Tamandua tetradactyla: one gene and its partners. The protein of the gene in region 3 purifies or fractionates together with the protein of the main gene of each other region. This does not show direct contact. Links are inferred from orthologs where the notes say so. Each region holds a gene or a part of one and is shown on either strand. Other genes may lie near its edges.

What was found.
Region 1: the proteins of ANAPC4 (region 3) and CDC26 purify together in Homo sapiens (affinity purification with mass spectrometry; 11 studies listed by BioGRID and IntAct, with this or other methods). This does not show direct contact. The link is inferred for Tamandua tetradactyla from reciprocal best matches to the Homo sapiens genes ANAPC4 and CDC26.
Region 2: the proteins of ANAPC4 (region 3) and CCNB1 purify together in Homo sapiens (affinity purification with western blotting; 3 studies listed by BioGRID). This does not show direct contact. The link is inferred for Tamandua tetradactyla from reciprocal best matches to the Homo sapiens genes ANAPC4 and CCNB1.
Region 4: the proteins of ANAPC4 (region 3) and ANAPC15 purify together in Homo sapiens (affinity purification with mass spectrometry; 10 studies listed by BioGRID and IntAct, with this or other methods). This does not show direct contact. The link is inferred for Tamandua tetradactyla from reciprocal best matches to the Homo sapiens genes ANAPC4 and ANAPC15.

What each region holds. Positions count from the first base shown.
Region 1 is NC_135328.1:33,882,908-33,889,743, reverse strand, and holds the start of CDC26 (anaphase-promoting complex subunit CDC26), read right to left. Parts: upstream 3,002-6,836; 5' UTR 2,853-3,001; intron 2,839-2,852; exon of another isoform or gene 2,637-2,838; intron 501-2,636; 5' UTR 488-500; coding exon 407-487; intron 1-406. Other genes in the region: PRPF4 (U4/U6 small nuclear ribonucleoprotein Prp4), read left to right, coding at 3,200-3,226, 3,959-4,142, 6,322-6,508. UniProt on the Homo sapiens protein: Component of the anaphase promoting complex/cyclosome (APC/C), a cell cycle-regulated E3 ubiquitin ligase that controls progression through mitosis and the G1 phase of the cell cycle.
Region 2 is NC_135335.1:117,327,516-117,335,531, reverse strand, and holds the start of CCNB1 (G2/mitotic-specific cyclin-B1), read right to left. Parts: upstream 3,002-8,016; 5' UTR 2,804-3,001; coding exon 2,783-2,803; intron 2,181-2,782; coding exon 2,010-2,180; intron 1,913-2,009; coding exon 1,760-1,912; intron 1-1,759. UniProt on the Homo sapiens protein: Essential for the control of the cell cycle at the G2/M (mitosis) transition.
Region 3 is NC_135345.1:25,466,382-25,473,789, reverse strand, and holds the start of ANAPC4 (anaphase-promoting complex subunit 4), read right to left. Parts: upstream 3,004-7,408; 5' UTR 2,909-3,003; intron 2,786-2,908; 5' UTR 2,776-2,785; coding exon 2,647-2,775; intron 1-2,646. UniProt on the Homo sapiens protein: Component of the anaphase promoting complex/cyclosome (APC/C), a cell cycle-regulated E3 ubiquitin ligase that controls progression through mitosis and the G1 phase of the cell cycle.
Region 4 is NC_135334.1:74,141,787-74,148,934, reverse strand, and holds ANAPC15 (anaphase-promoting complex subunit 15), read right to left. Parts: upstream 3,020-7,148; 5' UTR 2,767-3,019; coding exon 2,646-2,766; exon of another isoform or gene 2,065-2,645; coding exon of another isoform or gene 2,060-2,064; coding exon 1,935-2,059; exon of another isoform or gene 1,465-1,934; intron 1,355-1,464; coding exon 1,295-1,354; intron 977-1,294; coding exon 839-976; intron 667-838; coding exon 619-666; 3' UTR 353-618; downstream 1-352. UniProt on the Homo sapiens protein: Component of the anaphase promoting complex/cyclosome (APC/C), a cell cycle-regulated E3 ubiquitin ligase that controls progression through mitosis and the G1 phase of the cell cycle.

The DNA of each region.
Region 1 (6,836 bases), on a different chromosome or scaffold from region 3:
GATTTCACACACAGAAGAGGAAGAGGAAATGTGACCATGGAAGCAGAGATTGAAGTGATGTAGCCACTAGTCAAGGAATGCCAGAGCAACAAAAGCTAGAATTAGAACGCAACAGCTTCTTCCCTATATCCTCTGAAGTATGGCCCTGCCAACAGTCTGTTTTTGGCCCAGTGATATTAATCTCAGATTTCTGGCCACCAAACTGTGAGAAAACAAATTTCTGTTGTTTAAACCACCAAGTTTGTGGTAATTGTTATGGCAGTCCTAGGGAACTAATATATCAAGTTTGAAATGCCTAGAAAGCATCCACAGAGAGATTTCAAATAAGCTACTGGTATTAAGTCTGAGGTTCTGAAGTTAGTTATCTTTTTAAATATTCCTAAGGAGTCGAAGGTTGTACTCTTACCTCTAAGTCCTTTCGAATGCTCTCAAATTCTTCAATGTCATCAAGTTTCAGCTCTAGGCGGGTTGGTTTTCGTCGCAGCATACTGAAATCAACACTAAGGGCCAAACCAGTGAATTATTAGCTGTTAAAAATAATAGACAAGAGGAAATCTGGAGAGGATAAGTCTCAGCCACACACATAGGTCAATTTGTAAGCACAAACCCTAAAGTGAATGTGGTGAAAAAGACTCATTTGGATTCACACAGACCTCTCAGTTTTTAAATGTATGGCTTACATTTTTATTACATGATGAAAACCACAACTCTGTAATTTCTAAAAACTCTTCAAGAACTTAAAATAGCAGGCCTATAAGAGAGAATTCTAGGCAATGATTACTTTAATCTCAGACTCCAATCACATTCAAAGAAATATACGAATGAAGTTGAAATGTCACATCTTAATTCAATATAGTTACAGGGAAAGTGGAACAGCCATTAAATTTAATCCACTCTACATGAGAATTATTGGGAGATTTGTGATCAGTCCTGAATGCTAAAATCAGTTTGCTAAATCTCATGAAAAGTTCCTCTAACTCACCAATTGACAGGGTTATCCTCAGGGTCTAAATGGGTAAGTCATTCATTCAGCAAACACATAGTTTGTGAGGAAAACCAATGAGAAATAATCATATCATAATGGGAATCATAATGGGAAATAATCATATCATAAAATAAGGACTCTGATGAGAGTAATGAAATGGCATCACAGAGGCAACTGATCCAGGCTGGGCTGAGCGTAGAGTAGACAGGGATGTTCGGGAAGGCTTACTGGAGGAGACAATGTCTTAACTGATTTCTAAAGTGCAGACAGAGAAAGGGGATTAAGGACAGTCCAGGCAGAGAGAACAAGTATGCAAAGAGTTTCAAGAGAGCATCTATAGTCTGAGAACCCAAGTAATGCTGTGTTAACAAAGTAACAAACATTTTTTGAGAAGGATACCAAACTTCCCCAACTGAGTTTAACTTCTGATGATCTTTCTACTATCCACAGTATCCAGCAGAGAGTATCTAATGGATGCACTCAATAACACAGTCAGTAAAAGTCTGTTGAATAAAATCAGAGATCCAAATAAAGAGAGAAAGGAAATGAACTTCTCTTACACACCATGCTAAGTTTTCCCACGATCATTCTTTACATTCTTATTTTAATCTCCACTGAAACTCCATGAAGCTGGAAAAATTATCCCTATTTTGAATATAAGAAGTCAAAGCAAGCTGTTCAACTTAGCTAACAACGTCAGCCTCCTATAATAACCATATGTACATCACAGCGTGAGGACTAAATGAGAATGATGTAAGCGAAAGGCATTTTAAAGTACAAATATAAATCATTATTACATGTATCTCGGATGTAACTAGGGACTTATGACATACACGAAGGATGAAATGTTCACTCCTCCCACCAAGAGTGGGGCAGATACAGGTAAAAGTTACGGTCAGTACAAAACGCTGGTTCATTACATTTCAAGTTTCTTTCTACTAAATAAGATACTATTTTCTACCAGATTCCAATGTAAGCAAGTGGCAGAAGAAGCCAAACTTCCAAAGACAACATAAAGGCGTGAATACTTAAAATAGAAAAAACTGCTATGTAGTTTGACTTTTCGCCAAACTGAAAAGATCGCCACTAGGGGGCAGTAGAGAGTAATATTGTACGTAGGTAAAAGCGCTGACTGGAGGCGAAAAAGACAGAGGTTCTAAATCCCACTGGTCTCTGCCTCATCTCCTACTAGGCTTTAGTTTCCTCATCTGTATCTGTACTCTGTTGTAAGAATTGAATGACTTAATGCAGATTAAGCTCCTGGCACATAATTTGGCATTTATTAAATGCTCAATAAATAAGCTGTTGTTATTATTGTAATATTTTTCTTAGTGGGGAGGCGAGCGCCTCAGTCCGACTCGAGCAACACCGATATTTTGAGAATGCTCGTCATACCCCAACTGGGAGCAAAAACTTTGTGTTATTCATCTCTGATACTCCAGCTGGGCACAGGGCCGTGCTTAGAGTTTCTTGTGTACAGATTACCTGACGCCTTCATAACCATCATCTCACTCTTAATCTGATACAAAGACCGTTTGAAAATCAACAATATCAGGCCGTGTTTCCACGGCCGGGTCCATATTTTATTGTGGGACTGGAGGGTTCCTCGAGCTCAATCTCCCGCTGCTGCCCAAATCCGCTACAAATTTACCCAGTCCGGAGGGAGCCCCTGAGAGAGCTTCTGGATCGACGAGAACAGCCCTCCTTCCCCAAAGCCAGGGGTCCGGAGCTAAGGTTTCCATGACAACGTGGTCCTCCCCTCCAGGACCAGTAAAGTCTCCCCTACGCCCGGGAGGCACTGCGGGCCCTGGAAGCCCTCGTTTCGCTCCAGAGTTCAGCCCGGAGCTGCGCCACTCGACGCACCTACCTCTTTGCAAGTTGGATCAGCTCGTGACAGTTCCGGGAACCTCTGCGCCCACCGGAATCGACCGCCAAGCCAAGAGGACTACACTTCCCAGAGTCCTCTGAGCCTCTCTCCCGCAGATCCTCGACTCCCGCGTTTTTTTCTCGGAGGTTCTACGGGTCACGCCCCTCAACGTGACCTGAATCTGTCCTACTACGACTCCCATCATGCCGCGCGCCGATCCGGGGCGCAGCGTCGGTCGTGCGCTCAGTTCCTGCCCGGGACGCAGTTCCGCTTTGCTATGCGCGCGGTGGACTGGCTGAAACGCCGATCTTGGTTTTCGCTGGAACTTCGCGGCTTCCGAATCCAGCATGGCTTCCTCTCGAGCCTCCTCCACGGTACAGAACTTGGGATCTCAGCTCCCCGGGAGGAAGCGTGAGAGGGGTGTGGTCTCTGCGGGATGGACCGTTAGGGAACGGGCCACGGTGGTAGAGGGTTGAGGAAGGCAGGCTGCGGGAGCATCGCAGAGTTTGACTGGTCCCTAAGCACGTACTCTTTATGCCTTAGCTCTTTTGCACCTCTCTCTGTACATCCCCGAACGGTAAACACTTCTTCCAACACTGGTCCAAAAACAGAGACCTGAAACAGGAAGATTTACGTCTGTGTAGACCTGTTACTTGAAATGAGGCTTTCTGACTCCAAATCTATTGCCTCATGTCCGAAAACGTTTGAGGTATAAACACCAGGAACATTGTAACTTTGTGTCCCTTATGCCATGGTTGGGATTTCAGTATTCTTGCCATTTCCCCGTGATGAGCAATAATCAAGGACGGATTCTAAAACCTAAGAAGAGATTGCACTTGCAGCCGAAAGAACAGGTTCCACTGCAAACTGCTAATAGAAAAATCTCCAAGAGGAATTCACTAACTTTATCCACCTCTTCCTGTCTGCAAAACTTCAGTGTTTGAGGGACCGAAATATGCCCCCAAATTGGGGAGGAATATCTTAATTGGTGTCCAACTTGTCCCTTTATTTGGAGAGGAAATAAGACTGACGTTCAGAATAAGATCCTGGGAATCCTAATAGGTTGCTAATATTAAGCCTTAAATTAATCCAGTTCTTTGATTTAGCAGGCAACCAAAACATCAAAGGCATCTGATGACTTAGTTGCCCCTGTTGTAAAGAAACCTCACATCTATTATGGAAGTTTGGAAGAGAAGGAGAGAGAGCGTCTGGCCAAAGGAGAGTCTGGAATTTTGGGAAAAGAAGGACTTAAAGCAGGAATAGAAGCAGGAAATATTAACATAACCTCTGGTAAGATGCAAACTGTGAGTTCATCTTTATCTTTGATGCTCACCTTTTCTGAAATAGCTTAGACCTACAAATTTTACCTTCTAGACCTAGATCACTAGTTTTACAGTATCAAAAAATTTCAGCTCTTAAACTTGCATGTCTAGGGCCATACTTTGCCTGCCCCTTTTACCATCATCCAGGGGGCATTTTTCTTACAGCCTTTCATGCCATTTTTCTTCCATGAATTATTAGTAGTTCTATCATGAATTTATTCATTGTGTATTTGGATTCAAATTGATTCCCTTTGCTTTCTGGAGATTTAGCATAGTTCAGGTATCAATTTAGAGCAACTGTGGCTCATATGTTCCCCCTTTTTAAATTTTCATCCAAAATGAAATATCTTCTTTTTTTTAAATATTTTTATTGAGAAATCTTCATACACATACAGTCCATACATGGTATACAATCTCAGTGGCTCGCAATATCATCACAGATTTGTGTATTCATGAAATATCTTAATTATAAAAGTTATTTTTTTCTTTTAAAAAAATTAGTATAGGGTGGGCCACGGTGGCCCAGCAGGCAAGAATGCTTGCCTGCCATGCCAGAGGACCCGGGTTCGATTCCCAGTGCCTGCCCATGTTAAAAAAAAAAAAATTAGTGTAGAAAATTTTATAATCTTTATTAATTGGTTTCTGAGAATTTTAGTAGTTATAAAAACATATTTATTTTTCATAATGAAACCATGATATGCAAAATGTTTTGTAACCTGTGCTTTTCAGTCTACATGTCTATCCATGTAGGTAAGTAGAAATCCACTATATTTTTAATATAAAACTATACATTAGTCATAAGAAATTCAAACAGTACAGAAGGTGTTCTAGTTTGCTAGCTGCGAGAATGCAGTATACCAGAAACAGTATGGCTTTTTAAAAGGAAAATTTAATAAGTTGCTAGTTTATAGTTCTAAGGTCGAGAAAATGTCCCAATTAAAGCAAGTCCCTAGAAATGTCCAGTCAAAGGCATCCAGGGAAAGATACCTTGATTCAAGAAGGCCGATGAAGTTCAGGGTTTCTCTCTCATGTGAAAAGGCGCATGGCGAACACGGTCAGGGTTCCTCTCTCAGCTGGGAGGGCACCTGGCAAACACGGCAGCATCTGCTAGTCGCCTCTCCAACTCCCCAGAGGTGTTTTCCTTCATCTCCAAAAGTCACTGGCTGGAGGGCTCTCTGCTTTGTGGTTCTGTGGCATTCTCTGTTGTGGCTTCCTCGTGACTCGGGCGTTGTTCTGTGCTCGCTCTGAATCTCCCCTTTTCTCCAAAATGTTTCCTCTTTTATAGGATTCTAATAAACTAATCAAGACCCACATGGAATGGTGGTGACACATCTCCACCTAATCTAGTTTAACAACCACTCTTGATCGAGTCACAACTCCATGGGAAAAATCTAATTTAAGTTTCAAACATACAGTACTGAATAGGGATTAGAAGAAACGACTGCCTTTACAGAATGGGATTAGGATTAAACATTGACTGTTCTAGGGTACATGTGAAAGAACTTCGTTGATCCTCCCAGACATGTTTTTTTACACACATGCCCTTTAGTGTAGCAACTTTAACCTTTACTACTGTTTTTAAACTTAACTGCCTCATCATTGTACCTCTCATTTTTGTATCCAAATGCTCATATTTGGTGTGGTTTTTAAAACTAGTTGCTCAGTTATCCAAAAAGCCTTAAAGTCACAAAAATATCGTTTTCACTTGACTAGTAACATTTGTAAGTGTGTTTATACTGGTGCTGTTTTAGATAATAGCTTTGGTGATTGTTAATAGCATTTCTATTTTTGTCTTCTGGATAGAAAGCCTAGTTAATTAACTCACTTGCTAGAAGTGTCTATACTCTCACTTTCTGATCTCATCCAAGGTAAGTGTTTATGTTAGGTATGAGATTGAGGTTGCCAGATGAAATAAGGGGTGGCTTGAACCATTTTCCTGCCTTTTAAAACCGTCTCATTATGTTTATGTGCTGGGCATAATTTAATAAATTGAAAAGGAATAAACTATGTCTATAAAGTACAAAATAGATTCGATTATTACCTTCCCCTAGGGGCATATAGGGACTCCAGTTATTAGAAATCATTTCTTTCCCTCTCTTTGAAAAAAGATCTGGCCATTATGCTGATGTTACGCGTTCTTTTTATAGGAGAAGTATTTGAAATTGAAGAGCACATCAGTGAGCGACAGGCAGAAGTACTGGCTGAGTTTGAGAGAAGGAAGCGAGCCCGGCAAATCAATGTTTCTACAGATGACTCAGAAGTCAAGGCTTGTCTTAGAGCCTTGGGGGAACCCATCACACTTTTTGGAGAAGGCCCTGCTGAAAGAAGAGAAAGGTGCCTTTCCTAAATACTTAATCAATTTTTTTTCTTTAATCACAGGGTTCTAGTTCCAAATTTTGGTTGGTCTTTGTAGCTAATTTTTAATAAAATGTCTCAGATAGCATTAACATCATATTTTATTAAGTTGTATTTATGTAGTTTAGCTGATAATCTGAGTTTTAGGTCAATTCTTACTCCACTACTGATTTTTCTTGATAAACTGTGAAGAGGGTGCTACTTGCTAACAACATAAAACATAATGATGAATGTTTTCCAGATATTATTGAAGAAGACACTCTCTTAAGGTGATGTTAAGGTTATGATGTCTCTTACTGTCAGGCTA
Region 2 (8,016 bases), on a different chromosome or scaffold from region 3:
AACTATTGTCTTTTCAGATTTATTCAATTTCTCTTTAATAAGTAATTAATATCAAAAGTGAAATGCCAGCTTAAACTGAGCCAATTTGAAGTCAGCAGAACCTCAGTGCTAAAAGGTAAAATGTAGCAGGAGCAAATACTTTCATATTCTAGACCTTCCTTTAAAGAAAAGTAGTATCTGTTTATTAGTGCCATCTGTGAAGAATCTAAGTGACTGACAAGGCAGTCTTAGACCTGAACTAATGAGAAGCCAGTCTTTAGATGTATACTTTTTTCCCCTTCAAAATATGGGCTTCTTCTCACGGTGATTAATCATTTCCTTTATGCTCTCTTCCCGACATTATTCAAATATTTGAGCATGTTTTGCAAGTTGTCTTCTAAGGCACTGAATTCTTGAAATCCTTAAGCTTAGAATTTAGAAGAATAAATCAATGAGAGATTGATTCTAGAAACATGGGTAGCAGTAGGTGAAATTAGAGATAGCTCTACAGGTTAATGCTTGAGTTTTGTTTTGAGGGATGAAAAGGTTACCAAGTAGATGAGAGAAGGTGGGAGAAAGCATTCTTAGTAAGAAAGTAAAGGCAGGAATCAGTACAGTGCTTTCAAGGAAACCTTAGGTAGTTTGGTATGTCCATATTAATGACTGTCAGCTACATGTTTGATATGCTATGTTCCGAAGATCAATACTAAAGCAGAGAGGCTTCAAATCTCTTACCCTTAGATATCAACATCTAGGCTGAATAACTAGATGATAATAGATTATTTTCCCAACCTAAGTTTTAAAAATTAGAGCCTTGGAATACATTTCATTACAATATCTGTAGAATGCCCCATTTTCTGGATGGCTTGTCCTCCTTTCAGAGGAGTAGATATATTTATGTATCTGATATTTAATAAAAAGTCCTGGTTTTTAAGCCTAGCTTGTTAATTCATCTTCTTGCCTCCTTCTGAAGAGCTAGCTACATTATCTTTCTACCTCATACCTTCATACATTCCAATGTTACAGGCTAATTATCCAATGAACACATTAAAAAAGAAAATTCCCACCTTTAAGGCTCCTAAAACTGGAGCAGTACATTCTTCTCAAGGGAATTACCAAGCCTGTCATTTTTCTTGGGTAAAAAATCTGAGTTAAAATTCTTTTTCTTAGCAAGTTCTCTTATTATAGGATTTACATAGAATTGCTGGAAAAGTCAACCCTAAACAACTTTTCAGAGGCACACCTGAACAGAAGATACAAACCTATTTAATTCTGGTATTATCATGAAGTGATCTAATTAATGTTACACTAACACAGGATACCTAAGGAAACTAGGTGACCAAAAAAAGATTTAAGAGACTATTCTGTATTTCAGTCAAGAAATTTGAGACATGAATGGTTTGAACTTGGTCAGCAAAATCTTTGCTCCAGGCAGCTACTACTTAATACCATTAACAAAGGTGGGCAGTATTGGAGAGCACTTAGAAGCACTAGTTCTAAAGCCAGACAGCTTAGGTTTGAGTCCTGAACGTGCTACTTATTAGCTTTATGACTCTGGAAAAGATACTTATAACCTTTCTAAGTCATTATCTAAAAAGTAGAAGTAATAACAGCTACCTGAGAGAGTATATGCGAAGATTAGGCAAGTTAATGCATGAAAAGTACTTAATAGAGCCTGTCTCAGGGTATGAACTAAAATGTTCTATTAGTATTCAAATGTTATCCCATGCATTAGTCAAATGAGGGGAAAGGACACTAAAGTAGGTAACAATGCGTTTACCAAAATAGGCTCAGGCAAAAATTTTTCTTCTTTAATGGGTTCCGGTTCTGGTTCGTGTTCTGGCTCTGGCTCCGGCACAGGCAAAGCTGCTTTTTCCAGAGGTCTGGGTAGTTTTTTAGCCATAACTTTCCCAATAGCTGAAGCTTTTGCTTCCTGTAGATGAAAGGAAAGGAATGGAATATTCCACCATCAAGAGCCACAGTTGCGAGGTGGGTTTATACGGAGAAATTAGGCCAGGAAGCTAAGTTACCTTTTTCAAGGCCATTTTGGCCTGTGGCTGTTCACTGACTTTGTTACCAATGTCTCCAAGAGCTGTTCTTGGCCTCAGCCCTGTCTTGGAAGCTGCAGCAGAGGCCAAAGGTACTCGCTTTGCGCCCGCCATACTGATCTTCGTCTTATTCTCAGTATTAATTTTCGTGTTCTGCAAGAAGCAAGATCAGTTCAGAGCTGCTCAAGCCCGGCCGGGGTGAGTCGAGGGTTAATTAAGGTGCGGCACAAGAGAGGCGGAAATCCGAGTGAAATTGCGGGGAGGGGAAAACTGGGTCTCGGGGTCTTCTCTAAGGCCGTGACACGTTACTTCCCTCCCGGAACTTCACTCACCGACTGAGGGATTTTCGGGGAGTTGGGGCCAACTCTCAAATTAGCGTGAATCTACATTTGAAAGAAAACCTAAACAAAAGCTCCGATTGCAGGCACCTTTTCTCCAGGAAGGGAGCTTGGGAGCTTACTCGGCGGCCCTCCACCACCTTTTAAAAAAGGCTTCCCGTCAACGCTACAGCCCCCCCCCCCCACCCCAGTACTTCTCAAGGCCCTTCCAGGTCTTTCTTCGCCTTCTCTCCGTCCTGACTGCTCCCCACCTCCCCCAGCACACCAGGCGCCCTGGGCACTCTCTCCGAGACCTTCCGTCCTCCTCCCCAAATCGCTGCCCGGCCCTTGCCCAGTCGGGGAGTTCCGGCAGGCGACGGAGGACGAGAGGGCGCACGGGGGGAAGGCCACGCTTGCTCACGGCTCGCAGCAACTCACCCTGGTGACTCGGAGTGCCATGGCTTCTTCTTCACCAGGGAGCAGTTCAGAGGGAGAAGCAGAACCCGGGAGCCCCGGACCACCTGGGGACCAAGTGCCACCACAGAGCAACAGCCGTTCCTCCGCAGCACGCCGGGAGCAGCGGGGCCCCGCCTCGGATTTAAACCCCGCACTGCTCCCTCCTTATTGGCTGGTTCGTGGCACTCGCTCCCTTCCCATTGGCGGCTGCCAGTTCCTCCCAGAATGCGTTTCCAGGGCGATCCCGCGAAGCCCTTGGACAGGGGGCGGGGCCAGGGCGGGGCCAGGGCGAGGGCGCGGCCCCGGCGCGGGGGCGGGGGTGAGGGGAGTGGGCGGGGCCTCGCGCGGCCGGGCTCCGCGCTGCGCGCTCTGGGCGCGCTCTGGGCAGCCTCTGCACCTGGAGAGGCGTAGGTGCGCGCGCCGTGGAGGTGGCCCGCGGAAAGCGGCAGTGCGGCGGACGCGGTTTTAGAGGTGTGACGAGCAGTTATGGCTTCCGTCCTCCTTATTGATACCCCTTTCCTCTTCCACACTGGCGTGTAGCGTCAATATCATAATTCATGAAAGGCTTTGTTATTCATTCTTTCCTTTGATCATTCCAAGAGCTCTCCGGGGTGGAGCAGCTGAAGCTCGGAGAGGCTTAGGTGGCTTTCCAAGGATCACAAATGCTGGGCGCTGGGATTGGGTTAGGCTTTCGGATCCATGATGTTTCCATAACATTGTCTCAAGGATTGTGGCAGCTTCGGAACCTGCCCGATTAGTTCAATCAAATTGTTTCTCAAAGCCAATCTCTTCTTTTAGTTTTTTATGTGGAAATTATATCAAACTTAGAATAAGTCGCAAATATGAAAATATTGCAGCGAACACCTGTATAGTCTTTACTCAGATTCAACCATCTTTGCAGGGTGCATTTCTTAAGAAATTGACATTATTACAATACTTTCTTTAATCCAATTTTTATCCTAGTTTTGTTGATTGACCTAGTAATGTCCTTCATAGCATTTTGCCTGTACAGGATCCAGTCTATGATCAAATGCTTAATTTTCATGTCTTTTTAGCCTCCTATAATCTGAACAGTTTCCACAGCTTTTCTGTCTTATCACATTGACATTTTTGAAGCATACAAAAAAGTGTCCTTTCGCTTTTTTTAATAGAACTTTCTCACTTTTTTGTTTGTCTGCTGGTTCCTTGTGATTTTAATTGGTAATATGCATTGTTGGCTGTAATACTGCATAAGTGATGTATCCTCAGAGTATCAAGTCTATAGAAATACAATGTTCGTCAGTCCCTCATAGGTGATATTTTGTTCACGTGTTAAAAACGTTACCTGGTTTCTCCACTGTAAAATTACTGCTTTGTTTTTTCTTCTTTGCAACTAGTAAAGTGTCTTGGGGGAGACACTCTCTAAGACCATGCAAATATTCTGCTCTTCCTCAAAACTCCCTCTAGATTTCACATCCATTGATGATTTTTTTTTGCATATATATACAGGCATACTTACTTTATTGTGCTTCACTTTATCGCACCTCACAGAGTCCATTGATGATTTTATCTGAAACTGTCTTTATCAGGATGGTTGCAAAACAATGACTTTCCAATTCCAGCAATCCCTTCAGCTCTTGGCCTTCTATTACAATAAGCAAGAGATCTTCCTTCTTCATTTATTTACTTATTTGCTTATCTGTTTATTCTTGGTATGGATTCAATTCCTATTTTGCCTAAAGAAATTACACCTTTAGGCTCATTATATCTAGTAACTATTTTTTTAACTTTTTTTATTGTATAGTATAACATATATACAAAGCAAAGAAATGAAAAAGCAATAGTTTTCAAAGTACTCTTCAACGAGTAGTTATAAGACAGATCCCGGAGTTTATCATGGGCTACCATATGATTCTCTCATATTTTTTCTTCTAGCTGCTCCAGAATATAGGAGGCTAGAGGGCTTAAATATTTTTTTTATCACAATTGACTTTTTTCCTTTTTTTGTGAACAATAACATATATACAAAAAAGCTATAAATTTCAAAGCACAGCTAGTTGTAGAACATATTTCAGAGTTTGACACGAGTTACAATTCCACAATTTTAGGTTTTTACTTCTAGCTGCTCTAATTGATAGAAGAGATATCAAGTTAATGATTCAGCATTCATATTCATTTGTTAAATCCTATCTTCTCTGTATAACTCCACTATTATCCTTGATCTTTCCATCCCTATCTTTAGGGTTGTTTGGGCTATGGCAATTCTAAATTTTTTATATTGAAAGGTCTGTCAGTAATATGGGGTAGGGAGATGGAACTATCTGATGTTCTGGAGAGAATGGCTAGATTTCAGGACTTATCTGGACCAGGGACCCACCTGGAGGTTGTAGGTTTCTGGAAAGTTGCTCTAGTGCATGGAACCCTTATGGAATCTTATATATTGCCCTAGGTGTTCTTTAGGATTGGCTGGAATGGTCCTGGTTGGGGTTTGGCAGGTTATGATAGGTAGCAAGGTCTACCTGAAGCTTGTGTAAGAGCAACTTCCAGAGTAGCCTCTTGACTCTACTTGAACTCTCTCAGCCACTGATACCTTATTTGTTACATTTCTTTTCCCCCTTTTGGTCAGGATGGCATTGTTGATCCCACAGTGCCAGGTATGGATTCATCCCTGGAACTCATCTCCCATGCCGGCAGGGAGACTTTCACTCTTGGATGTCATGTCCGATGGAGGGGGGAGGGCAATGATTTCACTTGCAGAATTAGTCTAGCAACTATTTTTGAAAAAAAAAACAAGTTAATAACAGTCAAATAATGTTTAAAGTATAACACTGATTTCCATTATCTTATAAATATGACAGTTATACTGGTAAGGTATTTAGATAATGTAAAATCAAGCTGATGGTATCACATTACGGGAAACAACTAATGACAGTTTTCCTCTAAACTAAGTAATCAAAAGAAAAGGTCCTTGTGCTGGTTGGATTACCTACAGGCTTTTAAAATAGTGACTTCATAGATTTTGCTTTAAATGATTCTCAGACATTTGAAGCACAGCTACAAAATTTACCAAAATTACAGGCAGTGCCTTTTGCATCTTTTGTATTTATGCTGAGTGACATTGCTATCAATGTAGGCCTTGAGAGAAGGAATCTGCCCTCCACAAAACCTTTATAATCCATTTTTTGGTTTTAATAATATTGATAGTCTCTCAGATAACCTAATCTTCTCTCATCCATGTGCCTATTGAAATGCAAATCTTCAGTCAGTAGTCAAGAAACCCTGATCTCCATACTTTTATAAACAGGTTTTTCCCTTGGCTTGAAGATTCCTGGTTTAGAAGGCTGCATTCGAAACTGTTCCTTACAATTGCAATAATAGTATATGAAACCATATAGGCTAGACTGTATTTACATTAACAGTTCATCAAAAACACTTTAACTCGCTTGCTGCAATGGAGCTGGTCAAGAGAATCACTTCAGGAGGGGCCAAGATGGCAGCTTAGCAATGTGCACGTTTTAGTTCGTCCTCCAGAACAACTACTGAATAATCACAAACAGTTCAGAACAGCTCCTGGGTCACGTCAGTGACCGGACACACGGCATACCCCAGTCTGGACCAGCTGGACCAGCTGCGAGCACCCCCCAGAACCGTGAATTCCCAAAGCTACAGCGGCCGGCGCCCCTCCCCCACAGGCCGCTTCCCAGAGGGGAAAGGAAAGGAGTTTACCAGCAGCAGGGGCTGAGCCCAAGCAAACGCCAATTGTGGAATTAGTTAACAAATTCTGACTACTAAAAATAGGCCCCCAGCTCAGGTGAATCTGGTCAAAGCGGAGGTTGCTCATTGGGCTAATGGAAAAAGAAAAAAAGAAAAGAAGCAGAGGTTTTTGTGGCTGTGTTTCTACAAAGGCTAGACTGCCTCTGGATTCAGTAGCAGGGTACTTCTCAGGCTGCAACTGCCTCAGGCATAGGCAGAAACAAGCTTGTTTCAGGGCTTGTCTCGAGCCTGTGCCTTCCCCAGGGGAGGGGTGAAGCCCAATTCAGGTGGAATCCTTCCCTCAAGGAATTCAGACACCAGAGCTTGGTATTAAATTAAAACCAGCCTACAACCTGTCCTCTGTCTCCACCACATCCCCAGCAGGGAGAGTCTGCCAAAGTTAAAGGTACCACATCATCTTATGCTGGTGGGACCTGAAGGCAGACAAGCCCCACACACTGGGCAAGATAAGAAAAACAGAGTCCAGAGACTTCACAGGAAAGTCTTTCAACCTGCTGGGTCTCACCCCCAGGGAAAACTGACACAGGTGATTTCTTCCCCCTGATAGGAGGCCAGTTGGGTCCAGGAAAACCCAGCTGGGGTCTATAATACCCAAGTAGACCCTTCTAAGGGTGGCAGGGAAGCACCATACAAGCAGGGTGAGAAAGAAGAAAACAAGAACCAAAAAAGTCTCCTCTGTTAAACATAACCTAAGCTAGAGGTCCAGAAAAAGCTGAACTGAATGTCAAAGAACAGATAGACAACAAATTCTCCAGCAAGAAAACCCTAGGTAAAAGAAGTGAAAGCAATCTCCAGAATAAACTAGTTAAGGTAATCAAATGCCAAGATGCCAGCAAAAAATAACAAATCACACCAGGAAAATTGAAGATATGGCCCAGTCAAAGGAACAAACTAAAAACTCAAATGAGATACAGGAGCTGAAACAATTAATTCAGAATATACGAACAGACATGGAAAACTTCATCAAAAACCAAATCAATGAATTGAGGGAGGATATAAAGAAGGCAAGGAATGAACAAAAAGAAGAAATCGAAAGTCTGAAAAAAACAAATCACAGAACTTATGGGAATGAAAGGCACAGTAGAAGAGATGAAAAAAAAAAAGGAAACCTACAATGGTAGGTTTCAAGAGGTAGAACATAGGATGAGTGAACTGGAGGACAGAACATCTGAAATCCGACAAGAAACAGAAACTATAGGGAAAAAAATAGAAAAATATGAGCAGGGTCTCAGAGAACTGAATGACAATATGAAGCACATGAATATACATGTTTTGGGTGTCCCAGAAGGAGAAGAGAAAGGAAAAGGAGGAGAAAAACTAATGGAGGAAATTATCACTGAAAATTTCCCAACTCTTATGAAAGACTTAAAATTACAGATCCAAGAAGTGCAGTATACCCAAAGAGAATAGATCCAAATAGACATACTCCAAGACACTTACTAATCAGAATGTCAGAGGTTAAA
Region 3 (7,408 bases):
GGAACTGAATGACAATATGAAGCGCACAAATATACGTGTTGTGGGTGTCCCAGAAGGAGAAGAGAAGGGAAAAGGAGGAGAAAAACTAATGGAAGAAATTATCACTGAAAATTTCCCAACTCTTATGAAAGACCTAAATATACAGATCCAAGAAGTGCAGCGCACCCCAAAGAGAATAGACCCAAATAGGCGTTCTCCAAGACATTTACTAGTTAGAATGTCAGAGGTCAAAGAGAAAGAGAGGATCTTGAAAGCAGCAAGAGAAAAACAATCTGTCACATACAAGGGAAACCCAATAAGACTATGTGTAGATTTCTCAGCAGAAACCATGGAAGCTAGAAGACAGTGGGATGATATATTTAAATCACTAAAAGAGAAAAACTGCCAACCAAGACTCCTATATCCAGCAAAATTGTCCTTCAAAAATGAAGGAGAAATTAAAACATTTATAGACAAAAAGTCACTGAGAGAATTTGTGACCAAGAGACCAGCTCTGCAAGAAATACTAAAGGGAGCACTAGAGTCAGATACGAAAAGACAGAAGAGAGAGGTATGGAGTAAAGTGTAGAAAGAAGGAAAATCAGATATGATATATATAATACAAAAGCCAAAATGGTAGAGGAAAATATTACCCAAACAGTAATAACACTAAAAGTTAATGGACTGAATTTCCCAATCAAAAGACATAGAATGGCAGAATGGATTACGACCCAGCAATACCACTGCTAGGTATCTACTCAAAGGACTTAAGGGCAAAGACACAGACGGACATTTGCACACCAGTGTTTATAGCAGCATTATCTACAACTTCAAAGAGATGGAAACAGCCAAAATGCCCATCAACAGACGAGTGGCTAAACAAACTGTGGCGTATACCTACGATGGAATATTATGCAGCTTTAAGACAGACTAAACTTATGAAGCATGTAATAACATAGATGGACCTAGAGAACATTATGCTGAGTGAGTCTAGCCAAAAACTAAAGGACAAATACTGTATGGTCCCACTGATGTGAACCGACATTTGAGAATCAGCTTGGACTATATCATTGGTAACAGAGACCAGCAGGAGTTAGAAACAGGGTAAGATAATGGGTAATTGGAGCTGAAGGGATACAGACTGTGTAACAGGACTAGATACAAAAACTCAAAAATGGACAGCACAATAATACCTAAGTGTAATGTAACTAGGTTGGAACACTGAATGAAGCTGCACCTGAAATATGGTTTTTTGTTTGTTTGTTTGTGTGTTTGTATCTTTTGTTTTTGTTTTTTTCTTTTTCCTTTTTATATATATATATATTAGTATTATTATTTTAATTCTCTTCTCTATATTAACATTCTATATCTTTTTCTGCTGTTTTGCTAGTTTTTCCTAAATCGATGCAAATGTACTAAGAAATGATGATCATACATCTATGTGATGATACTAAGAATTACTGAGTGCATGTGTAGAATGGAATGATTTCTAAATGTTGTGTTAATTTCTTTTCTTTTTTTTGATTAATAAAAAAATTAAAAAAAAAAAAAAATTACAAGACCACTAAACTCATGGATCAGCCCACTTGCCTTGTCAGCTTTTTCATACCTCTCCTTTCACTCAAGCTTCCAGTATTTTTTTTTTCTTCATCAGCTTTCTTAGATTATTCCCTCAACAGGAAAATGAAAACAAGTGCCTACTCATCTGATTGCACTGATGCCCCTATTCTCTACTTTCCTCCCTATTGCTGAGGCTGAACTATCTGTAGCTTATCTACTCCCATCTAGAACCGTCACAAAGTTACAAAGCACCCTGGCAGAAAAAAGACTAGAAGATTTCACGGAGGGGCAAGAAATCTAAGGACATATTTCATCTTCTGGTACAATTATCAGTACCCTGGTAGCGGGGTTATGGCAGGCAACAAGGTGAAAGAGTTCTGTATACTGCTAACCTTACCTTAACATCTATCTTTGAAACTCGGGCGCACACACCGCTCAAGGTCTGACAACTATCAGGAAAACTGTCAGGAGGCCAAAGGAGGGAAGATGCACCAGTGAAGGTTTCTTTACAGAATGGCTCTGCGGTCAATATGAAATCTCGGCAAAAAGTTGTATACATTCTGTTTATACATGTAGGGTAATGTAATATGAACTAGAAATGCTTATCAGTAAGTCACTGCACGTTCTGGTAGAAATCCTGCGAAGCATGTCTCCCTTGTTCAATTTAAATGTATTTAGCAATGAAACCACAGTTTAAAACTTGGACAGCAGAATGAAAATCCTTAAACCTGTAGTATCTGACAGTTACGTGTATGTTGATTTTCAGCGAACTCACAGTAATAACTCATTTTTCTTTTGCTACTAAACTGTAAGCAAACTTAGGGTAGAGTCTGTGCATCTTCCACTATTCTCGCTCAGTGAATGAAGACCATTTGGGGATGCAGAATTGTGTTAAGCTATGTGAAAATGGACCCACAAATATTATTAATTTTCGCGCATATGGCCCTTTGCACTCTCTCTAATAGCTGCGGTCATGGGAGTGAGAGGCGGGGAAGTCAGGTACCCTGCCCTGTCCACAGAAAAGGAAACTGAGGCTCGGGCAGTGGGTGACCCGCACCAACAGGGGGTCAGCCCTGCCCCAGACGGGCTCCACGCCGGTTCACTTACCTCGCCCGTCGTATTGGCCAGAGCAATGAGATCCCGCTTGGGAGACCAGACTAGGAAAATGATCTCCTGCGGCAGCTGCTTCTCGCCCACCACCCGGAAGGATGGGAAACAGGTCGGAAAACGCAACATGGGGGCCGCCCTGCAAAGACACCCTAGTTGGAGGCCGGTAGCATCCCCTCCGCCGGCCCAGGGAGCCCCCGCCGCCCTGTCCCGGCCGGACACGGCGCCGCCTCCGACCCCGCGATCTCCGACAGGGCGGTACCTGCGAGGGTCCCCTCGGCGGCCCAGGCGATCCAGGCGGTACAGACCGCCCCAGCAGCCTCCCTCCCTCCCTCCGTCGGCCGCGCGCAGGAGCCTCCGGGCCGTCCGGGTGCGCGCTTCGGCACTTCCGGCGCCGGGACTTCCGCGCTAGAAAACGGAGCTGGCGCGCGGCTGGGTGGGGGCAGGCGGGATCGGGGGTTCGGGGTCGGTGGGCTGGGGGCGGCGAGCGCGGGGCATTCGGGAGCGCTGGGCCAGGAGGCGGCGAGCGGGACGCATGGGGCTCGTCCTTATGGCCGCCTGCCCGCCTGCCTCTCCCGTTTTCCCGGAAATTTGCTTCTGCCAGCGAAGGGACAGTCCAGAGGTTAAGGCTGAGGCCTCAGAGATGATAGGGAGAGAAAAAGGCATGTGAATTCCGGGACCTGGTCAGCCGCCTTTGACAGCCTCTAAACAAGTGGTCTTCAGTTACAACGTGGGATCATCTGGAGAGGTTTTAAAATCCTGCCCATGCAGCGCTCCACACGAATTCAAGGAAAATCAGTACCGTGTGGCAGCCATCAGGTAGTAAGGATGGCTTACTGACTTTACTATAACTCCGTAGGTGATTACAACTTGAAGCCAAGGCGGGGACTCTAAACCCTCCTTCAGATGGGGATATAATGCCTTGAGTCCTTATCCTACATAAACCTCACTACATATTGGTAGTACTAGCCCCATCATATGAGAATGCGGAGTGTGGGCTCATCCAAGACTTAGCCTGTAGCTATTTGAGCATTTCCTATGTTCAAGAATCTGGGGCTACAGAGACGTATTGGACATGACTGTTCAAAAGGCTCTGTTCAAAATGCTCATAGGCCAGTCTGGCAGAGAACATGTAAATGCTGACCCTTCTGACTGCCCTTTATAAATGACATATTTAAATGTGTCAATCCATTCAACAGTTTCCTGAGCCGTGACTCGGGCTTACAGGATGTCACCATGACATCCTATGACTATGGTAGAAAGGCCTCCAGGTTTCACTTTTTACTTGTTCAATGGAAAAAAGGTGGCAGGACCTTCAGTTTTCAAGCTCTGTCATCTTGTACTCTCTCTGATCTAGCCCCTGGGAAGTAGGTGACAGATATAGATTAATTCATTCAGAGACAAATATTCAAGAAGCTGTTTTTGTGCCAAGTGCTGTTCTTAACTCTTGATGTTTACCTGGAACTTACACTGAATAAGAACCCTCATACAGCACATTATAAAAAGGATTGAAGGACAGGACAGTGTTAACTAGTTGTACACTAAGAAATTTTAGAAGAGATTAGAATGAATTTTCTAGAAAGAAGGTATTAAAGTTCAGGAAACAGGATAGCTTTGGAGTTCCATATGTGGTGAAATAACAGCAAATAGTTTTATATCCTCGTGTGTGTTGGTGGGGAGTAGGGAGCAGGGATTGTTGTTACTGGAAATGATCCTAAATAGGGAAAGGAAAAAAAACTATTAACACGCATGTGTTTTTAGCTTTTCCTTACTACCTGATGAAGAAGGTTCTTTGCTTTACCAGCTCCTTTCTTTACCTTCTCCATCTTTTGTGTAAGAACTGCTTTGCCAAACCTGCTCATTTGTGCTTTTGTAACAGAAAATCAAGAAGAAACGGGGAGAAAGTAGTTCATGGATCATACGCTATTTAAGGAAACAAGGCAGGAGATATTTATGTGGGAAAAGTGGGGAAAAGTGAAGTAAATGGAAAATAGGCAGATTTTAAGCATTTCTGCGCTCTGTATATTCTCTCCCTAAGTGTTTCTTTTTAAAATGCAAGAAAGAACTAACTTTTTTGAAATACCTCTTTGACTAGCTAGATTGATTTTCAATCGCCATACTCTTTGGTCTAGATTGTACTATTATAACAGTGAGGAGCCAGATTTGGAAAGGCCAGAGAGCTACCAACAGAGATTTCTGGGGGGTGAAGTCTATGTTAAGGTGGGAGTGTGGCATAAAAATCAATCCATCATGGCCAGCAGGCAACTGAAAAATCAGGTTTGAAAGTGAAAGGTCAGGACCTGAGAAAAGGTTTGAGATTCCCTCTTCTGTGTACAAAATGGAAGATGGAATTGTGGGATGTACCTATACAGGCCATATGAAGAGCTATTATTTTGAGGCCTGTTTTGAAGTCATAAAATGGTTGAAACACAAAACAAGCAAATTGAATGTGAATTTGCAGGAAAGAGAAAAGGATGTAAATGGGTGGTGTTGGAACCTCTCTGCTCTACCACAGTTGCATCCATTCGGCAACAAAAAAACGTGACTCAAAGTTGAACAGGCAATAACAAGAAAGTTGTGGTTAATGTAAATTAAAAGTCCAGCAGGAGGGCAGAATTCAGGCCAAACTAGATCCAGCATTCAGTCTCATCAGGAACCCAGCTACCTTGTCTGCCTTCTACAGGGTTTATATCATCATGAGGCTGGCTCCCCATGTGGTCACAGAAGACCGCAACTGGAGCTGTATGCTACCTCTTTCAGACCAGGAGAATGAACGCCTCCTCTACCAACCATAAGACAAAGATGTTGGACTTCATTATGATTAGACCAACCCCTATTAGCAGCCTAGCCAGAAATCACCCACTGGGAAAGGTGAGGGAATTATGCTGATTGATGGAGCCCAATAAAAAGGTTCCCCCCCCCCCCGCCTGCCCCCAGAGACCAGGAGAATACAGTCATTCCTCCCCCAACTCCCATGGCAGGTCTACAGTGGAGCACGCAATGGGAAGGTCTGTATGATGCTGCTGAAGCCATCGACACTGCGCAATACAACAATCAATCATGATAGTTAAGGGGTAGCTTTAAGTAGGAAGAACATTTGGGACATGATGTCTTGGCAAAATGAGTCTAAATTGGATTGCTGGGGTTTTTGTTGTTGCCCATGACTGTTTTGGTTGCTTTTCTGGGAAAGATATTCATACTAACTCATGGGAACTATTTTTCCAATTTGAAAAAAAGTTCTAATAAGAATTACAAGTCCAGTATTCGTATGTATAGGAATTTATCCTGAGGAAGTAGAGACTGGAATATAAGGAAGCTTATCATAGGATTATTTACAATCATGAAAAACTGTAAACAACTCAGGTTGTTTACTATGGGAGACTGACTTAAGAGTAGGTTGCAAATAATATGTATTTACAGTTCCGTTTTTGTTGGAGGAAATTTAGAGTGGGTCTACCTATTTAACTATTTATGCAAGATTCTGTGTTTGGAAGAGTACATGCCAAAGTTGTAACAGTGGTTATCTGTGAGAGGTAGAATTAGAGATGATTTTAATTTTCTTTGATATACTTGGATCATGTATCAATTCTAAAGATATTAAGCAGGAACCTTTGTTTCCTTTTATCCTCTTTAAACCTGAGGAATGTTTGGGCTGATTTTCCCTAGTTTGCTCCCATTCCTTGCCTTCACATTTGTAGATAAAGAAACAGAGGCCCACCGATTCAGACTGCTTCTTAGAGCTCACTGGATATTATCTAACCTGCCTCATCTAACCTGCATGCTATTAAAAACAAAACAGTTTTGAGAATTTTGTGGCTGTCCAACCAATAGGATAAAACTCACTGCTCACAGCTCTGAGATCTGCTTTCTCACTTTTGGTCTTGCTGAGTTTAACATTCACACTAAATAGCCTTCCAAACAACAGAAATCTCCTTTTCACAGTCGAGCTTCTTAGCTGACCCTGAATTATTTTAAGCCATGTCCTAATGCCCCAATTAAAATAGCATCAAATGCATGCAATTGGATTTTCTTTTGCGTTTTGTGGAAGCTTTCTTTACCTGATAGCTTTTCATGTAGCAGTTAGGGTTTTGAGGCATCATGCAGTTTATAAAAGGGATTTCCATCCACTCAATCCATAAAGAACATTGACCACTTGGAGGGCATTGTCTTGTTGCGAAGAAATGCCTTAGCCTATCTGCCCTACTCCCATGGTTATTGGGAGGAGGAGCTGAGAGCATATGTGATGCACCTGGTTGTCTCCTGATATCACTGTGTGCAAGGCCCAGGGCTGAGGAGTCACAGTGAACACACACGATGATGTCCACAAGGCCCCTGCCACTAACAACAAGCTTCTAATTTGCTCAGAGGTAAAAAAAGTACTCAAAGTTATTCCAATATAGGGCATGATTTAAGTACCTTAAAGAAGTATAAACTGGGGGTCCAAGGGTAGTTAAGTGGTAGAATTCTTGCTTGCCATGCGGGAGACCCGGGTTCAATTCCTGGTTCATGCACCTACCCCCACGCACAAAAAATTCAATAAATGCTAATGTAATAATGAGATAGTCACATGGAAAAAGAATGAAATGTGACCTCTACCCTACAGCATACCAAAAAATATATAAATAAAAATATATAAAAACAAAAAAATATATATAAACACACATTTTCCTCTCACTAGCCAGAGATTTTTGGAGAGACCAACGAGGACATTGTGAAGGAAGTGGCATCAGACCAGGATCCTTTGCAGGCTGTGCTTTTATAT
Region 4 (7,148 bases), on a different chromosome or scaffold from region 3:
AACACAGTCATTCATTGGGTGACTCCAGGGGAGTGGTTGACCCCCATTCCTTGAGTTTTAGTCCTCTCTCCTAACACTATGAGAAAAAGCTGAGAGCGCTCCAGGGGCCTCCCCTGCCCAGCCCATGTAATCCTGGGTAGGATCAGAGAAGAGAGCAGATCCTGAGATAGAAGCCCTCCAGGAATGGCTAGTGTAAGCTGGGCCAGGGGAAATGGCAAAGGGGCCTGCCCTCCCCAGCCCACCTGGCTAATTAAGTCTTACCTAGAGTCCCTCAGTCCCCTCTCCCCAAAGTTCAGGAGAAGATACTGGACTCTTCTGGGACCCATAAACAAATAGGGAATAGAGATGGGGGGAAAATAATTAGTCCTGTGTCTTTATTAAAGAGAGTTAGAAAGAGATCAGACCTGGCAACCATGGGGTGAAGTACTAGCTCTGACCCTAGGTATTCAGTGGCAGACTGATGACCTGGGAGGGAAAAGGAGACCAGTTGTTGGCAGCAGGTGAGGAGATACCTGAAGTTGAGCTTTCAGGAACTGGGGCCATCAGCTGGTTCTGCAGGTGATGCGCAGTGGGTTTGGTTGGCCACAGTTCTCCCTGAGGCCACCCCTGCCCTTCCATCTAGATCATCCACTGGTCTTGATCCTGTTCATTGCCTTCCATGTCCACCTGGGGAGAAAGCTAGGTGTGGGTGGGAAGGAACCTCAGTCTTCCAGCAAGCCCCCAGAACCTCATCCACTCTGTCCCTGACTAGATCCGGGATTTTGGTATCCCCTGGCCACCAGTTAGGTCAGAGGCAGGGAACCAGGAGCACAGACCCTATCCCCAAACCCTTACCTACCTCATTGACCTCTCCATCATCAGGTGACTCATTGTAGTCATTCATTTCATCCATGTCCTGCATGTCCTCATCATCCTCTGAGTCTTCTTCGCTATCCTCATCATCTTCATCATCTTCTTCCTCCTCATCATCATAGTGCTGGTGGGGTAGGGGAATGCCTATTGGGTCCTACAGGCCTGCCTGGACTATTTCAGGGGCTAGCCTTCTTGGAGTTCTCTTGGGGCCCAATAACTGACCCCCACCTCTCCAACCCCGTCCTCCTCAGTCCAGAAGCCTAGTGCATGTTCTACAGGACTTTAGTGCTGAGGCCAAGAGGCCACCTCTCCAATGGCCCCAACATCTGCCCACCACCCAACTAGAGCTGAAGACCATGACTGCTCTGGTGCTAGAGGCAGGACCCTTGGAACTAGAGCAGACTTTGGCCACCACTTGGCCCCACTTGCTAGAACCACTCACCTCAGAGGCTGGCTTGCCAATAGGTACCAGGTTGTTGTCCTTTTCTGCAATGCTCTGGAGCTATGGCCAAAAGGGTAGGGAAACAAGGCCAGGGTCCAAGAAGGGCAGGTTAGACATGGGACTGGCCCACCTCCTCCCAAAAGATTCCAAAGTGAGGGCAGTGGGGAGAAGGTTCCTCCCAGTTGTCAAGAAGATCCAATCACTTTCTCTCCCATCATCTACCACTTACTTTTGAATTGACCCAACTATTTAAACTCTCTGGGCTTTGGTTTCCTTATAGAATTTATGGTGAGGGTGAAGTGAGAGAACATCAGCTTAGAATATAGCATTTGTTAGACTCTCAGTAAATAGTCAAAATTATCATTTCCTATGCTTTAGGAAAAAAGAGCCTGGGGTGAGTGTCAGAAGCCTTGGCTCCAGTCTGGCCTAGAGGTTTCATGGTCATCTAACAATTTAAGGCAGAACAAAGATGAGAATCTAGGCCCTCTGAGCCCCAGCTCCAGATTATTCCTAGTTCAGGGCAAAAAGGTCCCCCAGGATAGGCTTCCAGAACAAGGCTGGTTCCTGGTCCAGTGGGTGAGGGGGGTCCTTGACTGAGAATTTCACCACTGTGCCCCTACCAGGCTAGATCTCTACTCACCCAGGCCTGATGTTGCTGTTCCTGCTGTTGCAGCTCTGTCTCCTCCACACAGGGTCGATCCAGATTAAACCACAATGTTTCAGTCACACGGGGGAAGAGTGAGGGGAACAGAGTTGACATGGCTCCTAGACTGAGGGAAAGGATCAGGTGAATCCAGCTCTCAGATATGGGTATTATATTTGTTTTGGTTTGGGGTTTTTTGGTTGTAATTTGATCTAGGAACGGGGTGGAGTAGAAGGTAGTAGGGAAGCAGCACTTCTCTCTGGGAATCAGAAAGACCTGGTTTCAAGTGTGGTTCCACCACGTACTGGCTGTTTGACCCTAGCCAAGTCACTTACCCTCTCTGAGCCTCAGTTTCTGCGATAAAATGGGGATAACAATTTCACCACCCTTAAAGTTATTCTGATAATTAATTGAAATAATGGATTAAAAAAAGACGTTTATAAGCTGCTCCACGAGAGAAGAGAGTGAAAACCAAGAGTAGAGAGGACTCAAGGACGTAGATTATAATTACAAAATTGTACAAAATGAGAGGTAGCAGGGGTCTCTACTGAAACATCTTTACCTCCTCCAAACACCAAAACCTTCTTTCTGCTTATTTCTTATTACCGGCAGTACAACACCTACCCAAAGTTAGAAAATTAGGACACTAAACCATCTTACTCATGGACCACAACCAAATTGGGGATGGGTGGGGAGGTGGGGTGTTACCTTGTGCAGACAGGGGCTCAGTAAGAAATTCTTGAAGGCCCGAGTAAATTAGTTGGTAAATGAATAAATAAATTGATGGAACGTTGAATGTATGAACCAGTAAGAGAACAAGTAAATTCATCTCTGAGTGAACGACTGAAGGAGCCAACCAGGAAAGTCCAAGAGATTCTGAATTAAAACCTCTCAGTTCACTTTTCTGAGACAGCGACAGGCAGCGATTGGCTCTAGATTAGTTGGGGCTCAGACTCGAACTCTCGTAGAGACGTACTCTAGGACGGTCACTAGAAGCGATGAGCAGAAGAGGATTACTTATGTCTAGTACTACTTTTGTTCTGACTTATTTGACCGATCCGGAGCTAGTCATTGTCCTTCTCTAGACCTCTGCCTCCCAGCCTAGGCAACAAGCAGACCTGGACCCAATGTCACCTCTCGGAAACACTGAGAGGCCAGAGAACGTAGATCCAAAAGCCCAGCCCAACGCCGCAAATCCACGGCCCATTCTTACAGAGTTTGCTCGTTATGATAATGACTATGGGGTTGACCAACAGGAAGAAACAGAGGTGGGGACTTGAACAGGAATTTCGCCTTATAGGGTTGCTAATCGCAAAAGGAGCGGGGCCTAGGTTGGGCCAATTGACTAGAAGAAATGCCGGGTGACAGGAAGTGACACCAATGACTGACGGATCTTGTGCGATGGGGTGGAGCTTAGTCTCAAGGAAACGGCCAGTAAATGATATCTCTTTAGGAGCGTTTGAAATAGTGCTCCTCAGCAGCCGGGTCAAGGAAACTAGGTTTCTTTGGGGAAAGGAGGATGGAAGAGGCAAGAAGACAGCAGCTGTAGCTCTGCTACGGTACTTACCGCACCTGAGGCGGGAGCGGGTCACGACCCGGAAGCGCTTCCACCTGCCTGAGCGGAAGGACCCACCAGAATCCGGGACCTACCAAGCGCATGCGTGTTTGGCCTCCTTTTGTTTCCCGCTCCCACCGCACCCGAACGGATGTAACGTTAGACACACCTTTGTTCACGTTGTTGGAGAAGAGAATTTGCCGCGCCCACTCTAGGAACCCTTCTTTGAGCCTCAGCCAATCGACCTCTTCAGCCTGGCCCCGCCCCTATGGCTCCACTTATCCCCGCCCCTCCGCAAGCAGGCTGCTATTTTCCTCACCAACCGCTGCTGTAAAGTATGTTCTAGGCGCCTGCGTTACTGCAGGGGCTTTTCTCCTTCTGCGCCCCAGGAAAATTTGTCTGTTTCCGGACTGAATCCAGAATCGCTGGGAGGCTTTTGACCCCTCCACTTCACTCTGAGCCTCAGATTCCCGTTTGGGCATATTAATTCATTTATTTATGTCTCCAACAAAAATATCTGAGCCCCTTCTGTATTCCAGGCTCTGCTAGAAGCTGGGGATAAAATTATGAATGTGGCCCCTGCTCCCCAAAAATCAACAGTCCAGTGGGAAGGCCAGACCATCCAGACCCGCAGTGGTTTCACTGGTTTCCTAGGATTGTGACGTTGAAGAAGCTATTCAGAATTGAGTGACTAGACAGTCTCAGGCATAGCGTTCTGTTACTGGTGAGTTCAGTAACAGTCGTTAGCCTCGTCATCTCCCCCACTCCTTTGCTGATACCTGTATCCTAGTTGCCTCTGACTCAACCTCCTATCAGAGGTCCTTACAATCCAACCCCCTTTGAACTCCATCACCCACCAGCCTCTTCCAGGGCCAGCAGACGTCCACAATTCTAATCCTACCCTGACCAGATGTGTGATCTTTGTCAAGTCCTTTTTCCCTATCTAGACTCAGTTTCTTCTTCAAATAACGTCATAATCTCTGCCCAGACTTCCTCCCATCCTGGCTGATGTGAGGGTCTATAACAGATGCTTAAGCTGTAAGTGTTCTGTGCATATCCACTGTGATTATGTTGCCAAGCATCTCTGGCTGTTATAAAGTTTTCTATTAGCAAGTAATAATTTGCCTCTTGGAAACCTCCATCCTATTCATTCATTCACTCAACAAATATCTATTGTGGGTCCTACTGTATTTTGGTCACTATTCTAAGTGGTGAATATACAGTAATGAACAAAACATTTAAAAAGTCTTATTCTCATGGAGCTTCTTCTCTAATAAAAGAGATAAATAATTAAAAGCATAAGTAAAATGCATGGTTTAAAAAATGTGATAAATAACTGAGGAAAAATAAATCAGGCATGTGGGAATACAAGGTTGAAAGGGGGTGTTTTATTTTAGGTAGGAAGGCCAAGAAAAGCCTCACTGGGAAGGTGTGCTGGTCTGAAAGTGGTGTGAACCCCAAAAAAGCCATGCTCTTTAATCCTCATTCCATATTGCTGGGTGGAATCTTTTGATGAAGTTGTTTCCTTGGAGATGTGACTCTTCACTTGTGGGTGGGAAGTTTTGATTAAGTGATAAATCTCTTAATATAGAGATAAATCTCTATCCGTTCAAGGTGGGTCATTTAAGAGGCAACCATTTTGAAAGAGATGAAAGAAAATAAAGTTTCAGTGGCTGAGAGATTTCAAATAGAGTCAAGAGGTTATCCTGGAGGTTATTCTATGCCTTAGATGGATATCCCTTTTTAGTTTATGGTGTATTGGAGTGGTTGGGGGGAGGTACCTGAAACTGTTGAACTGTGTTACAGTAGTCTTGATTCTTGAAGATGATTGTATAACTATATAGCTTTTACAATGTGACTGTGTGATTTTGAAAACTTTGTGTCTAATGCCCCTCTTATCCAGGGTATGGACACAAGAGTAAAAAAATATGGATAAAAAATAAATAATAGTGGGGATAAGGGATAAAATAGAGTAGATGGAAATACTAGTGGTCAATGAGAGGGAGGGGTAAGAGGTATGGTAGGTATGAGTTTTTTCTTTTTTTTATTTTTCTGGAGTGATGCAAATGTTCTAAAAAATGATCATGGGATGAATACTCAACTATGTGATGATATTGTGAGCTATTGATTGTACACGATATATGGATTGTACGTGTGTGCAGATTTGTCAATAAAAATATTTTTTAAAAAAAAAAGAGGGAACCATTTTGGAAAAAGCTTCAGAACTGACACAGGCAAAGACATTTGGAGATGAAAGAAGAAAATGCCCCCAAGGAAGCCATTTAAAACCGGAAGCAAAGACCCCAGCAGATGCGAGTCATGTGCCTTCCCAGCTGGCAGAGGTGTTCCAGACCTGTCTGCCTTTCTGAGTCAAGGTATCTTTTCCTGGATGCCTTAGTTTGGACATTTTAATGGCCTTAAATATGTAAATTTGTAACATAATAAATTCCTTTTTTAAAAGTCGTTCCAATTCTGGTATATTGCATTCTCGCAGCTTTAGAAAACCAACAGAAGGTGACTTTTTTTTTTTCACATGGGCAGGCACCAGGAATCGAACCTGGGTCCTCTGGCATGGCAGGCAAGCATTCTTGCCTACTGAGCCACCATGGCCCACCCCAGAAGGTGACTTTTGATTAAAGGTCTGAAGGAAGAGGAATAGAGCCATGCAGATATTTGTTGAAAAGCATTTTAGAGATAGAATGGAGAGGGTAAAGGGCCTCGAGTGACTGAAGCATAGTGTCCTTTGAAGAAAATTAAAGGAGATGAGGGCAGAGAGGTAGCAGAGGTCAGATAAATGCAATCTTATAGGTCAAAATAAAGAACTTTGCCTTTTACTCTGCATTGGAGAACTAGTGAAGGGTTATAAGCAGAGGATCCATGTAATCTGATTTACATTTTAATGGGGTCACTTTAACTTTTCTATTACGAATATACTTCAGGGTGATAAGAGCAGAAGCAGAAAGACAAGTTGGGAGCCTATTGTAATAATCTAGAGGTGACAGATGAGATATGAATTGAATTCAGAATCTATTTCTAAAGTAGAGGCAACAGGATTTGCTGACAGATTAGATGTATAATATCAGAGAAAGAAAGCAGCAAAGATTTTTGGCCTGAACAACTAGAATAATGGAGTTGTCCATTTTTGAGATGGGAAAGACGGGAGGTGCCGGTTTGGGGGGAATATCTGGAGCTCAGTTTGGGGCATGCTGAATTTGAGATGCCCATTGGAGTAGAACTGTAGAGGGGGCAAGAAGATACATGAATCTGCAGGTTAGGGGAGAGATTGAGGTTGGATATATTAATTTGGGAGTCATCAATACAGAGACAGTATTTAAAGTCAGGAAACTGGATGAGATCACCAAGGGAGGAGTAAGTGTTGATGGAAAATAGTTTCTTCCAATATTCAGAATTTGAGGAAATTAGAGGCAGGAATAAACAAGACTGAGAAGGACGGCCAAAAAGGTATGTGGAAAACATGGTGAGTTGGTTTGGTGTCCTGGCAGAAATGGGGAAAAAAAAAGTAGTCCATATACTAATCAAGGAATTCGTAGTGGCAAGACTCCCTTCCCACAGGTGATTAATACCATGCTCAAACAGCACAGATTTATCACTCTTCTCCAACAAAGTGGGGCCTGCACACTTGTCATCAACTCACT